Yarrowia lipolytica: one gene and its partner. The protein of the gene in region 1 interacts with the protein of each later gene in a biochemical or structural test. Links are inferred from orthologs where the notes say so. Each region holds a gene or a part of one and is shown in the gene's direction. Other genes may lie near its edges.

Region 1 (5,691 bases):
TGGAGAGTGAAATACGGGCCGTAAACGGGCTGTTTGACGGCCAGTTTCGGAAGACAAGTGTGGTTGAAAATGTTGTTGATCGGTCAGTCTCGTTTGTGCGGTCATTTTGAGCCTTTTTCTGTGTCTTCAGCGTCAATATTCGTCGTTTTAGATGTTTCACGATTTCACTGATACAATAGTGAAACACCGCCGTGCACGACATGTCGAGTATACTGAACGCACTTGTGCCCGAATGTAGTGTATGTACAATATACCCGTGGTTGTGCCTGCTTGTAGCTGTACCGTACCGCACTTTCTTCCTGCGACTCTGCTGTAGATCTACAAGACTCACAAAGATGGAGACAACAATCAACAATTTTCACACGTCACGTGCGCCAAGCAAACAACCGTACGCCAAGCCGACCTCCTTATCGTTATCGCACCGAGAAGACCTCCGACACTGTCCGACACCGTCCGTTGCAACTGCTTAGACTGAAAACAATCGAGATCAGAAACGGAGAAACCACTTGGACGTACCGCGCAATAGGTATGCTCACGTGACTCAATTGGGTTTTCGATTGGTGGTGGAGTGTGATTTCTGGAGATGCGTTGGTGGGGCGAGAATGGCTATAATTCCGTCAAATTTGAACCAAATGGAGTTTTGCTGCTCCCAGAATGTCTGCCCGAACGAGAGCTCCACGATAGTATCAAACTTGTTGAAAATTCCGGCGGAGATGTGTGCGTTTGGAAGATGTACGTCGTCGGATCCGCCTGCAAGCACCAGCACAACAGTGATACGCGTTACGGCAGCTACATCGAGTCGGTCCAAAGTCCAGTCCAAGCACAAGCACGAGTACCGTAGCTGCTGTACAAACTGCATCCGGTACGTACCATTCGCGTACCATCCAGTTGCCCTTTGAGTCGTGTTTCTTTGCCATCTTCTCTCCAACCACGCTGCAATCGCTGTAATATATACTACATACTATGTACCCGCTCGAAAAAGAGACGTTTTTAAACACTGCAAATCCAACTCAAACCCAGCTCTATTTCTCATCTATTGCTCACACCTGGGCACTCCACTCCCACCCGCTTACAGGTACAGAATTTTTTTAATTAATATGCAGCGCGTAAAAAAAATTTCAACTGTAAACGCGTGCTTCCATCTTGGGGTGGACCGCTGGTAATGGTGCGGTGAGCCGTAAATCATGTTTCGAATGTGTTTTTCCTTGGTGAAATCCCGTATAACGGTCGTCTAGGCGTCTATATTTCGAAAATTCACTTTTTTTCAGCCAATCAACGCCTTCCTTTTTATGTAGACAATTGCTGAGCAACGAACGCGCCTCGAACGCTAACCAGTCTTGCGATGAAGTGGTGTAGAATGACAAAAAAACAGGAAAAGCGCAGGAAACAAAAACAACAACAAAGCAAATTATGGGGATTAGTTGGATATCCTTTTTGTGTCTATTCCTTGCTCTTGGGACGCCCCAGACGACAGGTTATGAGCATGGTGTCCTGAATCAGCGGTACACAGCGTGCTGCACCTCCCCACGAGCTCCTGCACCGAGAGTCGTCTCTAGAGTCCGCAATATTGGTAGTATTGTAAATCTGAAAAGTGCAAACTTCTATATTCACGTCATTCTTCATATTCCAGCTTTCCTTTTCTCAATGGCGCCAAAACTGGACCGATTGTCTTGTTCCCACCCTCCCCCACGCGTCTCTATACAGATTGCCTAATACGGTCTCTTATTACAATTTACAGAGACAGCGGTCTGGACCGCGAATATTGGTTGTATTTCGGATCGGAAAATTCCCGCTCCCACAAGACAGTTTTCTCGTCATTTTCCTGCTTTTGGAATTTTCCTGCCATCAAAACTCGTCGTTGTACGGAGACCTGTCCCCGCCACCCACAGGGCACGCGTAAATCTAATTATCAGACACGCGCTTCCCTTCTTCACCACCACACCGCAGCATACACACACAATCACAATGCCGTCAATGGAAGTGGACATGAACGTCAAGCGAACGGGCGACGACGTGGCCGCCATGGAGACCAAGAAAATCAAATCGGTCACGAAAGAGCCCAATCCCACCGACTTTGAAGAGGAGCTGATTCTGCTGACCCAGGCCTCAGACGCCGAAAAGGGAGCTGTCGTGTCGGACGACCAGGTGTGGCCCCGGCCTGAATGGAAGGAATTCGATCCTCAGACAACCGACATTTCCTTCCAGCAGATCGACGCGGAAGAGGCGTCGGTGAACGGACACGCCGTGGTGCGTCTGTTTGGAGTCACAAAGGAGGGACATACAATTCTGTGCAACATCCGCGGCTTTTGCCACTACTTTTACGCTCCTGTCCCCGTTGGGTTCAAGGCCGAAAACCTCAGCACTCTCAAATCTGCCATTGCAAACACCGTTCCCGACGCCCTGGAACGCCTGGAGGTCTGTGAAAGAGAATCTTTCTGGGGATACAACGGAGGAGCCAAGGCCAAGTTCTTTAAGATCTTCGCCACCAACCCAAAACTAATCCCTAAGCTACGATCTGCTTTTGAGAACGGAAACCTCAACTTCCCCTCGTCACACGCCCAAGTCGGAATGCTGTTTGCCAACGGATGCACCTCCTTCGACAACATTCCCTACGTGTTGAGATGTATGATCGACTGTCACATTAGTGGTATGAGTTGGGTCACGCTGCCCAAGGGCAAATACACCATTGAAACCCAGTCGCTCGTGTCTCGATGTCAGCGAGAAATCAACATCTCCTACAAAGATCTCATCGCGCATCCTGCCGACGGCGAATGGAGTGACATTGCCCCCCTGCGAGTGCTCTCGTTTGATATCGAGTGTGCCGGCAGAAAGGGTGTATTCCCAGACCCCAAAATCGACCCCATTATCCAGATTGCAAACGTCGTGTCTCGACAGGGAGACACTCGTCCGTTTGTACGAAACGTTTTCACTCTCAACACGTGTTCCCCAATTGCAGGAGCCCAGGTGCTGGAGCACGAGAGCGAAGGAGATATGCTGATGCGATGGAAGCAGTTTGTCAACGAGGTGGATCCAGACGTGATTATCGGTTACAACACAACCAACTTCGATTTTCCCTATCTCATCGACCGCGCAAAGACTTTGAAACTCACAGACTTCCCCTACTTTGGCCGGTTGACGCATATTCAAAATGTCCTTCGAGACTCCACCTTCTCTTCCAAGGCGTACGGAACACGAGAGTCCAAGGTGCTCAACATTGATGGACGAACGCAGCTGGATCTTCTGCAGTTTATTCAGCGAGAGTACAAGCTGCGAACGTACACTCTGAACGCTGTGTCTGCTCACTTTCTAAAGGAGCAGAAGGAAGATGTGCACCACTCTATCATTACAGATTTGCAAAATGGAAACGCAGACACCCGTCGACGTCTGGCGGTCTACTGTTTGAAGGATGCCTATCTGCCTCAGCGACTCATGGACAAGCTCATGTGTCTTATTAACTACACGGAGATGGCTCGTGTCACTGGAGTCCCGTTCTCCTTCCTTCTTTCTCGAGGTCAGCAGATCAAGGTTATTTCGCAGCTGTTCCGAAAGGCCCTGGAAGTCGGAATGGTCATTCCCAACTTGAAACAGGACGGCTCTTCCGAAGAACAGTATGAGGGAGCCACGGTTATTGAGCCTGAGCGAGGATACTACGATATCCCCATTGCCACTCTCGACTTCTCGTCTCTATACCCTTCCATTATGATGGCCCATAACCTCTGTTACACCACTCTACTGGATAAGGCTACCGTTGAGCGTCTGGACCTCAAGCTTGACGAAGACTACCACCGAACCCCCAACGGAGACCTGTTTGTCAACCAGAAGACCCGAAAGGGTATTCTTCCCATTGTTCTAGAAGAGCTTCTGAGTGCCCGTAAGAAGGCCAAGGCCGACTTGAAGAAGGAGACCGACCCCTTCAAGAAGGCCGTGCTGGACGGTCGTCAGCTGGCTCTGAAGATCTCAGCCAATTCTGTCTACGGATTTACCGGTGCCACGGTTGGTAAGCTTCCCTGTCTTGCCATCTCTTCTTCCGTCACTGCGTACGGTCGAGATATGATCCAGTTCACCAAGGAGCAGGTGGAGAACAAGTACACCAAGGCCAACGGTTACCCCGAGAACGCCAAGGTCATTTATGGTGATACTGATTCTGTTATGGTCAAGTTTGGAGTGCCAGATCTCAAGACTGCTATGGATATGGGTCTGGAAGCCGCCGAATACGTGTCCGAGATGTTCCTCAAGCCCATCAAGCTGGAATTCGAAAAGGTCTATTTCCCCTATCTTTTGATTAACAAGAAGCGATATGCTGGTCTGTACTGGACCAACCCCGAGAAGTTTGACAAGATGGACACCAAAGGTATCGAGACAGTTCGTCGAGACAACTGTCGTCTGGTGCAGAACGTGATTGAGACTGTTTTGCGAAAGATTCTCATGGATCGAGACGTGGAGGGTGCCCAGGCTTACGTCAAGACCATGGTTGCCAATCTGTTGCAGAACAAGGTGGATTTGTCGCAGTTGGTCATCACTAAACAGCTCTCTCGGCAGGACTACGCTGCTAAGCAGGCCCATGTGGAGCTGGCTGAGCGTATGCGAAAGCGAGACGCAGGCTCTGCCCCTGCGCTGGGTGACCGAGTTGCCTACGTTATCATCAAGGGTGCTGTTGGAGGCAAGAACTACGAGAAGTCTGAAGACCCATCGTACGTGCTGGAAAACAACATTCCCATCGACACAAAGTACTACCTTGAGAACCAGCTGCAGAAGCCTCTCCAGCGTATTTTCGACCCCATTCTCGGCGAGCGTAAGTCTGCTCAGCTCATGACTGGTGCGCATACACGTACCATCACTGTTGCTGCTCCTTCAACCGGTGGACTGATGAAGTTTGCCGTCAAGACGGAAATGTGCAAGGGTTGTCGAACGCCTCTTCGAGGCAAATGGGCCAAGGGTGCTGTCTGTGAGAACTGTGTTGACAAGGCCGGAGCTTTGTACCAGCAGGCATTGGGTCAATTGAGTGAGTTGGAGGTCAAGTTTGGAAAGCTGTGGACCGAGTGTCAGCGATGTCAGGGTTCGCTTCACCAGGACATTCTCTGTACTTCCAGAGACTGTCCCATTTTCTTCATGCGACGACGAGTGCAGAAGGATATCCAGAGCAGTGTGGCCGAACTGAGCAAGTTTGACGTTCAAGATTGGTAGTTTGGATTGATAGACAATATATTTATGGCATGTGTACACTTTACTGTACAATTGCACTTTTGTAATGTATTCAACTATGAAAAGGTGTCATTGCACGATGCCAAAGAGGTCTACTTGTTGTACGTGGAATGTAAGGGGGATTGCGACTTGCTAGCCAGATGTCCAATTCTTGCCCCAATCCCAGTATCGCTTTTGACGTTGCAATCATTTGCCCTTCCAGGTATGGATCATCGAAAGTCATCAAAGCTCGGTACAGGGTCTCGGCATGTCTTTCATTAAACCGACACAGAGGGTTAGGACCAACCAGATCCCGTCGCTGCGATCCAAGTCCCTGAGACGGCGACTGGTGATCTGAAGCACCTTTCCGGCGATATCCAGGTAGACGAGGCAGGAATCTGTAAAAGACCGGGCCACTAGCAGAGACAGTTTGTAGATGCATTAAACGGCTTTCTTCTCCTGTTTCACAATCAACAACAAACGTACCCTTGACACAATTTCCAGTACTAA
Region 2 (3,482 bases), on another chromosome or scaffold:
TTTGTGGCGGTGCATTTCTAGGTTCAAAGCAAAGCCGCGAGCTTATTATGGCGGAGGTTAGGTACAGTAAAAAGAAAATGGCAGTGCGTTAGAATTGACAAGGACGCGTGTTTTCCGACTAAATTCCTTTTTCATTGGAATCTCTGGTCTAAGACGGCTATTTTGATGTAGTTTGAATCGTCTTAGGAGATCTATTGCATCTTTAAGGAGCTACTGGAAGGCTTGAACTTTCGGCAACAAGTCTGGAAGAAGGAATATCCAGCTAGGAGAGTTGGCATTAGTAGATACAGGTAGTTCATTGGAGAGCTATATAGTACTTCTCCTTGTGCTTGTACAGGTATGATATTCTATATATACATCCGTTTATTCTTTAGGGGTCACGTAGAATGCCATGTGTTCCCTCCTCCTGAGTCTTACCGAATCTGGCATTTCACGAAATCAACAACAAGTATTTTGATAAGCTGTTTTTGCGACTCTCTGATCATCTCCAATAGTTCTGATCTTCAGCTACTGGCGGGCTTACTAATCACGTCTCTCGAGCTAGCTCACCAACCCAACCCCGTCCACACATGGCATCCTGGCCGAGCGGTTAAGGCGAGAGATTAGAAATCTCTTGGGGTTTCCCCGCGTAGGTTCGAATCCTGCGGATGTCGCCATCTTTTTGGTCCTCTTTTGTATGTATATTTCTCGTTTCACGTGATGTGGTTGATTACTGTGCGAACTGTTGGATGTATGATGAAGTGTTTTTTAGGGGTTACCGAGACTATTAGTCTCGTTTGTTTGTACTTCATCAATAATAATGGCGTCAAAGAAGTACCTATTTGAAGTGTTTGTACTTCCTTGTCTCCTTTTGCCCGTCCAGTGTGACTCCTATAACACAAGAACCTGCCGACTTCCTCTATGTTGATTCATGGCGCGTCCCATGGGGAAGAGAGGGGCCCAGATTCCCAACAATTGACAGCTTCTGATACTTTTTGACAGCATTACAGCTCATGGTTCCTCTTTCTTCTCATAAATATACCAACGTTCAACTTTGCCTGTGTTCGTGAGGTCTTCCTCAGCACTGCGAGACCGCTAGACCGTATCAGCGCAAGAGAATGTTGAAATAGCAGGCTACAGTAATGGTTCAGTTATATCCTATTCTTCTACATCTTTTGGGGCCGCTCCCCGAGAGTTCCTACGAGTTGGAGTATCGCCGGAAAGCTCTACTCTGAAAATAATTGCTTTAACAAAGATATCAACTAAACGCGTCTTTCATAGTTGATAGGAGTTCCCTCAACATCCCAGCCATAACGTGGTATCCAGTACTTCAATCGCTCTGAAACTATATCTACATACAAAGTACAACTCAAGAACTGCGTATAGACGTTCATCGTCCTCTAGCTATCGTCCTCTACCATGCTCCAGCATCTCCTTCTACTTACCCTCTTTTCGCGTACACGGGTTTTGGGTTCTTTTTAAAGTTCAATTTACACGCTTTTGATTTTGATCCATCGAGAAATACTGCTCCAGCTTTCTATACCAGAACTCGACACTTTCAGCATGCCGGAGATACGTTCAAATCTGCCCACTACTGCCACCTCGCTCAATGATGGCTTCACGTTGCCCATCACAAAACGCAACTACAACCGTCAGTATGCGCCAATCTACTACATGCGATTGCACCAGCTCATGAGCCAGGTGCTGGATGCTGCTACTTCCAAATGGGCTGATAAGAACGTCAAGTACCTCAACAAGTGTTTGGACGTTCTTGTTGGGGATACGGTGTTTGTGGTCGGCACACTGTTCAAGGACATGAAATACAAACCCAGCATGTTGGAGGAGGTGACCCGCAGCCATTGGGGAGCTCCTCCGGGCAAGAAGCCCAAGTACGTGGACCCTCAGGGCGATTGTGAGGACGGTGGACACAAGGACGATTCGTCGATTCAGCTGGAGGACAGCTCCGGTCGAATCACGCTCGTGGGACCAAAGGTGCAGGAGTTCATGCTCATCACAGGCGTTGTTTGTGGAGTACTAGGCACGGCAGGCGAAAACGGACGCTTCACGGTCGTGGATGTGGTCTGGGGCGGCTTTCCCGAACAGATTTATCGACCTCTGAGTGGAGTCAATGACGGAGAAGACGTTGAGATGGCTGACAATGATACTCCTGAAGACACATACATTTGTCTTGCTTCTGGTCTGTACATTGGCCAGAAGAAGACGGATTACAAACACGTGCTTCTGGCAGAATATCTCCAGGGGCTGCTTGAGGAAGATGGTGCAAAAGATGGACTGGTAAAGCCCAAAAACATTTCGCGGTTCATTATGGCCGGAAACAACTGCTCGTTGGAGTCAGAAAGACCCGTTATCGACACACTATCTCGAACCGTGGACCTCGACGCCTTCAAGCCCATGGCTCGCGTTGACGAGTACATTGCACAATTGCTGCCATCCATCTCTGTTGATATCATGGCAGGAAACGACGATCCCGGCAACATGTCGCTTCCTCAGCAGCCGCTGCATCTGTCCATGTTCCCTCAGAGCCGCAAGTTCAAAAAGGCCACCTTTGGGTCTGTTTCCAACCCCTACTGGTGGGACTTTTCAACCGACGAGGCGCCTCTCAAGGTGCTGGGAACCTCGGGACAAAACGTGTCGGACATCTACAAATATCTGATCGAAGGACGAGACGATATTCTGGATATCATGGAGCATACGCTTGCCTGGCGGCACTTGTGTCCCACTGCCCCAGATACCCTGACTTGCTATCCTTATGGAGATGACGATCCCTTCATCATCAAGGAAACTCCCCACCTGTACTTCTGCGGCAACCAGGACGAGTTCCAGACCAGTGTTGTCAAGCATGACGGAGTGTCAGTGCGTCTGGTGGCAGTTCCGCGGTTTGATGAGACGGGAGAGGTGGTACTGGTGAACATGCGAACATTGAAGGCAGAGGTGCTGAGGATTGTCGCCTAGCTGGAGAGCGGAGCTCAACGTAGCGAGGGTAGGCAGCAGCACTACGAAGTAGGGGGTTTCGATGAGCGCTTCTAACTCTCGCTCTCAACAGATACATGCCATGTTCTCAGCAATTGTCGCTGGGACTCTTGACAAACTACCTCTTGTAGTGGGGACTACAAGTAGTTAGGAACTAATATATTGCACTTGCATGGCTTTATGATCGTAGCACAAGTGAGAGGTGGTTGGACAGTGTAGCGTATGAAGCCATCTTCTACGAGCTCTAGGGCACATTTCCCCCGTTATCACACAAGTAATAGTTCCAGTTCTTCCGAAACATCGAGTATGACTCAACACAGCGACCATGATGATATATGTTCTACACTCTTTGACTATATACAGTAGGCTACTTTTCAGGGGCGGGAAGAGCCAGCAACCCGTTAGGGGCAGGGAGGGCCTTGGTAAAGTCTCGTACGACAATGGAGCAGTCGACTTCTCGACACAGGTCCTTCTGCTTGACGGTGATCTTGTTGAGGAACTCGACTCCGGTG

Evidence for each region.
Region 2: the proteins of YALI1_A08175g (region 1) and YALI1_D06665g form a complex in vitro, tested with the Saccharomyces cerevisiae proteins (2 studies listed by BioGRID). The link is inferred for Yarrowia lipolytica from reciprocal best matches to the Saccharomyces cerevisiae genes POL3 and POL31.

Annotation. Positions count from the first base shown.
Region 1 is NC_090770.1:813,863-819,553, reverse strand, and holds YALI1_A08175g (uncharacterized protein), read left to right. Parts: upstream 1-1,965; coding exon 1,966-5,184; downstream 5,185-5,691. Other genes in the region: YALI1_A08126g (uncharacterized protein), read right to left, coding at 5,255-5,691.
Region 2 is NC_090773.1:664,624-668,105, reverse strand, and holds YALI1_D06665g (uncharacterized protein), read left to right. Parts: upstream 1-1,542; coding exon 1,543-2,952; downstream 2,953-3,482. Other genes in the region: YALI1_D06638g (uncharacterized protein), read right to left, coding at 3,338-3,482. UniProt on the Saccharomyces cerevisiae protein: DNA polymerase delta (DNA polymerase III) participates in chromosomal DNA replication.